Xenopus tropicalis: one gene and its partner. The protein of the gene in region 1 purifies or fractionates together with the protein of each later gene. This does not show direct contact. Links are inferred from orthologs where the notes say so. Each region holds a gene or a part of one and is shown in the gene's direction. Other genes may lie near its edges.

Evidence for each region.
Region 2: the proteins of cops5 (region 1) and btbd1 purify together in Homo sapiens (affinity purification with mass spectrometry; 3 studies listed by BioGRID and IntAct, counting the BioPlex papers as one, with this or other methods). This does not show direct contact. The link is inferred for Xenopus tropicalis from reciprocal best matches to the Homo sapiens genes COPS5 and BTBD1.

Annotation. Positions count from the first base shown.
Region 1 is NC_030682.2:119,216,952-119,221,131, reverse strand, and holds the start of cops5 (COP9 signalosome complex subunit 5), read left to right. Parts: upstream 1-1,379; 5' UTR 1,380-1,388; coding exon 1,389-1,531; intron 1,532-3,517; coding exon 3,518-3,752; intron 3,753-4,180. UniProt on the Homo sapiens protein: Probable protease subunit of the COP9 signalosome complex (CSN), a complex involved in various cellular and developmental processes.
Region 2 is NC_030679.2:105,451,995-105,456,239, reverse strand, and holds the start of btbd1 (BTB/POZ domain-containing protein 1), read left to right. Parts: upstream 1-1,356; 5' UTR 1,357-1,532; intron 1,533-4,245.

The DNA of each region.
Region 1 (4,180 bases):
TGTTCACAATGGGGCCCCTACATGACACTTACTTAGGTAAACCTATACATATTGGGTGTCAAACTATTCAGTGGACCCCTGGCGTTCAAATTTAGGATGTTTAATTTGGTTACTTTATGACCTGCAGGAGATAAGATACTATAGACTGGAAGCTTTGAAGCTATTTTTTTTAAATTTTACAAATTTTGATAAAAATCAGTAACTTTAGGAAACTTGGTAGTTTGGAGTAGACAGACAGTTGTGCGTATTCTGGATTCCCCAGAATCTGTTTCCAAAAATGTATGATTTCTGGGATAAACCCTCTGTTACTGCAATCTTTGGCCTTGAAACCTGAAGTATGCAGCTTTCTGAACCAGTGCTTTGGAATTTTGGTAGTGTACTGCTTGTAGTTTTTGACCTATACAAGTGAGAAATCTCCATAAAACTATGTATATTTGGTATTGGCACATTCAGGAGACATGGGGCTTTCCAAATCAGTTGTATTTTCGTGCATAAAATAATTTTTTTAGACATTTAGAAGCCTATATCTTGTTACAGAATTGGAATTCTACCATATTTTGAAAGCTTAAATTGTCCTGAAAAAATGATATATTGTTTTTCTGGGTAAACTAAAAGTCCCCCCGAGGAAAGGCCCCTAAAGTGAAAGTTCCGCTTTGACCCAATCGTCTGGAAGTGAAAGGGTTAAGGCATAAGAATTTAGTACAAGATATAAATTTGCCTAGTTTTCATCCTTTTTTTGCTGCACTACATGCCAAAAAAACCCACAGGTAACGCATTCTATTCATAACACTGTAGGTACTTATATGCTGACCCAGTTGCCTAAGACCTGCTATTTTACTGCAGTTCATGATTGTTTAGCTACTTCCTAACTGCAGCCATTGTTGCATCAATAACCTATTGGTTACAGTTTAAACGGAAACCCACATAAAACAGCACTGGGATCCATTTCTTGCTCTGAACCCATTTATTAATCCCATCTTCAATCCAAGCCCCCCATACCACTGTCTATCGCTAGATGGGGTTAATAAAATACTGAAAGACGTCACTGTTAATGACTTTCAAGCAGACGATACCATTTGTAGAAAACAGGAGGGTGATGTTGTAAGTCTTACCCCCACCAAAAAAATGTATTGTTTTTATATGACCGATGTGTGTTATGCTTTCCTGTTTTCTGTAATGTAACAGAATAATGAAGCCGAAATGAAATCAATCCCAGAACCAGGAGAGTTTTCTAAGTTATAATTCTGGAACCTGCAGCTTCCCACACTGTGACTGCGCCTGGCGGAGGGCGGAGGCAAGGCTAGACTTCCGGATGTGCGCAGTGTGAGGCGACGTTGTGTATTTGTGAGCCGGTGTAAGCTGTAAGGCTGGCGGACTTTGAAGAGGCCATGGCCATGGCTGGGAGCAGCGTGGCCCAGAAGACATGGGAGCTCTCCAATAACATGCAGGAGGTGCAGAGCATCGATGAGATCTATAAATACGATAAGAAGCAGCAGCAGGAGATCCTAGCAGCCAAACCATGGACAAAGGAGTAAGAAATGGGAATTGAGAAGGACGGGGGTTGTTTGGGATAGGAGAGACAGAATGCATGACATCCAGGGGATTTGAAAGTTGTAGATCGCTAACAATTGGATGGTCTGAAGTGAAATATACCAATATTGAGGGGTATATTTATCATGCTTTGTAAAAAGTGGAGAGCATTACTGATGATGTTGCTCAGGGCAACCAATCAGCAGTTAGATTTCAACAATTAGAAAACTAAAGCAAAGCATGTTATTGGCTGCTATGAGCAATATCACAGGTAATGTTTTACTCCACTTTTTACACAGCATGATAAATATACCCTTTAGCATTGTGAAAAACTTGAAAGTACTCTACTTGAACTACAATTCCCAGACATCTCTGGCAGCCAGGTGGTTTCAATACTAGTTATTACTATAAGTAAACTAGTTATTACAAGCTGCTGATAAAGCCCCAGTTGCTTGACCACCAAGCTCTATAGATATGCTCAGCTGCATATCTACAGGCCATATTCGCTCAGGGGCATGTGACTTTACATGAAGAAGCTGACGGTCGGTCAGGATTGACTTGTGGCTGTAACACATTGTTACGGAGTGTTTTAGATGCATATGACTGGCCTTTAGAAGTTTATTCGATACAAGTGTATTCAATACTGTTCTCCCTAACCTTGGTGAGTCCTGCTGTTGTTGCTTAGTTTGTCCCTGTTATGTCTCATATCTTATCAACTTTAATGTTAAGACACATCTTGTAACATTTTTTCATTAACCATTTATACATACTTGTAACGCTATAATTTAACTTATTTTCACTTTATTTTCTGTTTCTTTGCTTCTTTCTGCTTCTGTTCTCCATGTTGTTGGTTTACAGTGTTTTTTATGGTTACTATGATCACTTTTTGGCGCCATTTTTTGTGGGATGTTATTTAAAATGTGTGTGGGTATTCAGTCTGTTGGTTTGTCCCTGAAGAATACTGTTGGTATTCCAAACATTTTTTCAATAAACTTGAGCGTGCAGTGCTCTTTATCTAGCCTATCTATCTATGTACAAATTATCACAATTATAAAAACAAAGGTAATATACTGCATTGTATAGCAGTGACAGGGTTTGGAATCTGTAGACCCAAAAACTTTTTCCTCTGTAATTCTTTTATTAGCTTGTATTAATTATGGGGGGATTTGAATATTACAGAGGAAAGAAAGGTTCCTTGTCTCCAGTCCAATTAATGTGTGTATGTTTATCCAGAAAACTTGGGACCTGGGGTTTTCCTGATAAGGGGTCTTTCCATAATTTGGATCTCCTACCTTTAATCTTCTAAAACAAATATGTAAACAGTAATTAAACCCAATAGGATTGTTTTGGCTCCAATAAGGATAAATTATATCTTAGTTGGGATCAAGTACAAGGTACAGGTATCGGACATAAGATACACTGACTAGATTGCCCTTTTACTGATCTTTCATGCAACAGGGCCCTGACACATGAGATTAGTTGCCCATTATAAATCTCCTCTACCATGGGCAACTGATCATCTCCAAATGCCTTCCAACTGGCGATAATGTAAATTGCCGGTGGAAAAACATATGCGTTGCTTTGGCTTTCCAAAATTATGCGAAGTTGCCCTGCAAAGAAACTTCTGACTATGGAAAGCTGTAGCATCGCTTATGTTTTCCCACCGGTGATTTATATTTTCACCAGTGGCAAGGCAGTTGTCTAAACTCCTTGTCTTTCATTGTCCTAAGTGCTGCAGAGAGATCATAGCTGCCTCATACACATTCAATAGGTATATTCGGTTAGCCTTTATAAAATGCACTTTTGTTAAAGCTATGTGATGTGCAGATTGGTGAGATAATGGTGAGCTGCATTGTTCTAACCAAAGCAAACACTGCTTGGCTATTAAAGGGAACTGACTTGCTATTGATTAGCAAGAAAAGAGGCTGCCTTTCTGTTGTTCACATGAAATTATGCCCTGGGTAAGTTTACTTCTTCTTGTTTACAGCCATCATTACTTCAAGTACTGCAAAGTGTCTGCCCTAGCCCTGCTGAAGATGGTCATGCACGCCAGATCAGGAGGGAACCTTGAGGTGATGGGCCTCATGCTTGGAAAAGTGGACGGGGAGACTATGATCATTATGGACAGTTTTGCTTTACCAGTTGAAGGAACTGAAACCAGAGTCAATGCTCAGGCTGCTGCTTATGAATACATGGCTGCATATATTGAAAATGCAAAGCAGGTACCTTGCATCCTGGCTTAAAAATTATACCATTTAAAAGGAAAAGATAGTTTTCTCTTCTCTCAGTTCATTTCCTTAATTGTCATCTCTACTGCATAACATGCTTACACAGTGAATACAGTGTATAAAGACAGTAATAATGTGCAATACAAGTAGGACAATACTTATTTAAGCTTTAACATTCATTTAACATTAACAATTATATATGTGTATTCTAATTACAAAGTTGCAGTTTTCCTTGAGGAGGATATGCTTGCCCAGATAGGCTGTCCGTATACACAGCAGCTAGGATTCACTTTTTCTTTTTTCTAATTGTGGCAGACTGTTCACATTTAACCATATTTCATTGTGGAATTAGCACTGGTGAACATTTAAATCCTCAATTTTCACAGTTTGAGACAGAAAAGCTGTTTTCTTATGACACTAGG
Region 2 (4,245 bases), on another chromosome or scaffold:
CAATAACAAAAACAATAACTATTGTTTTGATGTTAAATACTCACCCAGCACACAATAAGCACCCAATGTACAATTTAAAATATACTAGATAGATAGATAGATAGATAGATAGACATAAAGACAGACAGACATATAGACAGAAAGATACATAGACATATAGATAGATAGATAGATAGATAGATAGATAGATAGATAGATAGATAGATGATAGATAGATAGATAGATAGATAGATAGATAGATTTAAGTGGATAGCATTTAAGTGGAAATTGCACTAGTGCAAACCATACCAACCATGGAGGAATTAATTCACAATTAGTTCACATCAGCTTTTTGCAGTTAGGATGTAAAGACTAAATGCAATTCAAAAATGACCAAAGGATGGTGTTACATGACAACCCCCAGCATCTTACTGACAGCAGAAGACTGTATTTGGGATGCTAAGAGAGAGAGGTTTCCCATGCCTAATTTGTAAACTAACAGCTACTTCAGGGCTATGGGTTACTGCACAGGTGCAGGTTTGCATCTGCGACTAAATCCAGTTGTACCTAAATCTGTTTGTTTCTTATTCCAGGTTTATAATGGAAAAAAGACAAAACTTTAACTTGAGCCAAATTCTTCCAAATCCCACTGACTCCTAAGCCATTTCCTTCCTTCCTTCCTTCCTTCTTTGGTCTCCAGGCAAGCCAAACCCTGCCATTTAAGAAACATGCTTGAAAGAAAAATACATTAAATAAAAATGGTAAAATAAAAGATTATATAACAAAAACCAGGTTTCATTGCTACTTTATTTACAGATCATTTAAGTTTTGTCATTCAGGCATGTGTTCAGCTGTGAGAAAAGGAAAGCTTTTATTCTGAATGAAAAGATATGCAATAGACTGAAGAGTAGATTAATGGTAAAGTGTTGTCAAGAACAAATATTTCCAAGAACAAATACTGTATTTCTCATTGCAAGCCAGGATCAGACTAGGGGGTGCAGGGCCCACCAGGGCAGCACCCCAGGGGCCCCTGCACCTCCCAACCTCCTCCCCTGAGAGCATGTACAGTATAGTTACTTTCAGGTGCGCCAGGGGAAGGAGAACAGCAGCCGACTGGTGCTCCAGGGATTAGGTCTGGGACGGTGGGGCCCACCGGGTTTTTTCCTGGTGCCCCGGCAGCTCAGTCTGACCCTGTATCAAGTCATGGATGATGGCCAGCAGCTCTCAGCAGCTTGCACTGTAGAATGCCAGCAGATCTGCAGGTAGAGTCACTCAGCAGGGAACTGTACTCTCTTTCCCTGGATGAAAGCAGAGCTGTGATTGGCTGACCACATCCTACTGCGCTTCTGTGCAGGAAGTGTTAGAACATGCCAACTACTTATTTGAGAAAGGCAGTGGATCAGAGAGGATCTGTGGGAGCTCCAATAAAAACTCTCTGACAGTACATCAAATAAGCCAAGTGACAGTTAATGACAGTTTAGACCGTTAGGACCGTTAGTGCTCACCACTCATGGACAGTGCAGCAGAGAGGATCGATGGGAGCTCCAATAAAGGTTGGTTTTTAATGTTAGCAATCATTGTAGCCTAGATTGAAATTAGTCTAAAAGCACTGTCAAATCTTTGACACTATAACATGTAATGCATTAGCAGATAAATAGCAATCAGATATACAGCTCAGTATTGACTTCAATTTGAGTTGGACTGTTAGTATCCTAATAACCAGTGGGCTCATTTTCAGGCTAATAGACCCCAGCTTTTCTTATCTAACTTTCTGCTGAATGCTAATTGCTTGCATTTCTGATATATAGCAAAGAGGACTAGGGAAAGAGAGCTTGTATCTGCCACTAAGCTATTTCTTACTTTTAAAATAATGGTAAAAAGATCATCAGAAACTTAGCAGAATAATACCTATAAAGCAATGGAAACTAAGCTCACACACTCCACATGTTGAACTGAACAAAAAATGTTGCTTATGTCCTACTACAGATATATAAATATATATATGTGCATTTTTTTTAAACAACTATTCATTCTCTTTCTGACAGTACACCAAGTGATAGTTTAGCCTGCTTTTTAATGTTTAGAAGAATGGTAAATATTTTAGACCATAACAAATGTACATAAAACATTAGCAGTAACAGAAATATAGTCAGGTGACTGAGTACTGATTTCAGTTGCAACTGAAATCTCTAACAGCACACCCCTGCTTTTCAAATTGGTTGAATCCGTTAGCATTGAGTCTCATGATATTACAATGCCAGGCAGCTGCAGCTCTTACAGAGACAAGGCAGATAAGTCCTGACACAGCACTGCTCATCTCTCCAGCACAGGATTTTGCAGCCTGTTAACCAGTTTAGCCAGCAAAAGTGAAAAATGCAATTGAGCTACTAGCAGAAATGTGTCAGATTCTGGTAAGGAGATCTTTAGATATTAGAGAAGTTCAACATAACCATAGATAACCATTGTTACACCTGTAGGCTGTACAGATTAACTTTGTCTTCATCTTTTTTATAGAAATGGTTAAAATATTGCAACAAGTTTTAGATGACCTTGAAACAATTTTCTAGCTAACAGTCTCTACATTTTCTGTTCCTCAGAGCCCCCCGCACATGCACATACACACTTTTTATTATATCATTTTTATCTTTATTTTTTCAAGATACGTATATAAGTAACCCAGAGGGGTTGTGAAATTAAGACATTAAGGAATCATTGTTTATTGAGAATAAAGATTACAAATGGATTACAAATGGATTACAAATGGATTACAAATGGATTACAAATGTTTACGTGGTTTTGTCTGTAATATTATATATGTCTGTTGCTGTTACTGTTGCCTGAGTCAGTTTACAACTATAATGCTACAAAAGCAATATTACAATTATCAACATAGTTATACTGCAAAAAGAGTAATAATAAATATATTAAAGTTTCCAGGCTCAAGGAATGATATACCCCATTTCGCAAGGCCACACAGAGAACTGGCTCCGCTCCTCTATACTTTTTAGGCAGGTGGAGAGAAGCAAATCCCTTCTCTTTTGTATATCCGGGTATCTGCACTGAAAACTACAGCTTTTGTCTGAGTGTTGGTACATGGAGGAAAACAACAGGAGGATTACAAGATGGAGTGGAAAATTACTGAAATTACATGCACCTTTTGCTACAGGTACACCAAATGGAATGTAATTTTGCCCAAGGAATACAATACATATAATAATACATCATAGATGCAATATGCAATTTATTCAATTTCTGGAATACATCGATTTTTAATCTCAAGAATGGAGCAAATGACCATGTCCTGAAGATAAGAAATCATGGCAAGTATCATATGGATTTCTATTATGCCAGGAATACAGTGCTAAACCCATACTTCTTAGGAATACAGTATATCAACCTATGTCCCAGGAATACAGTGCAACTCAGGCAAGGAATACAATGCAGTGTCCCTACTAGCCCAGAAATATAATGTGCAACCTTCCAGGGCTATGGAGTACAAAACAATTCTAATTGCAGGAGTACAAGGTGGAAAGTTGTGTTGTCCATGAAATACAGAGCATATCTACGAGTATGTGGAAAACAAAACTAATTTGTGGATATACAAAGTCGTATCCAACAGGATAACAGTGCAAGGAATAAATCATGGTATCATATTTATTACTATTATGCCAGAAATACAGTGCAAATTCCATACTTTTTAGGAATACAGAAAGTCTGCCTATTTCCCAGGAATACAAAGTATAACATTAGAACCCACTGGATTACAATACAGAGCTTCCTAAGTAGGGTATACTAGGAATTCGATACTGACCTGAAAATATCATGAATCCATGAAAGGAATATAATCTAGAGATTAATACCCCAGGAATACAAATCAGAGCTTTTACATAGAATTACAATGCACAGCCTAACAGGGCCATGAAAAGCAAAATTACCCTAACTGCAGGAATACAAAATAAAATGTTATTTTCTACAAAAAATATGTAGAATACAGTGGAGATTCTTATGATGCCCAAGGATTACAATAAGAAATACAAAACAGTAGATTAAAGTGAAGACTGTCACGTGAAAAGTAAGAAATCATGGTAAGTGAATTATTTGTTCCAACGGATATTAAGCGTAAATGCAGTGTTTTTATGCAAAAAAGTCATATCTCCTATTTAACATCAGGAATACAATACAGGCTTAAAACTCAGCAATCCAAGTTGTGTGACTGCAATAATAATAATAGACTTCCACCCTCACCATGCACAACCATAGGAAACA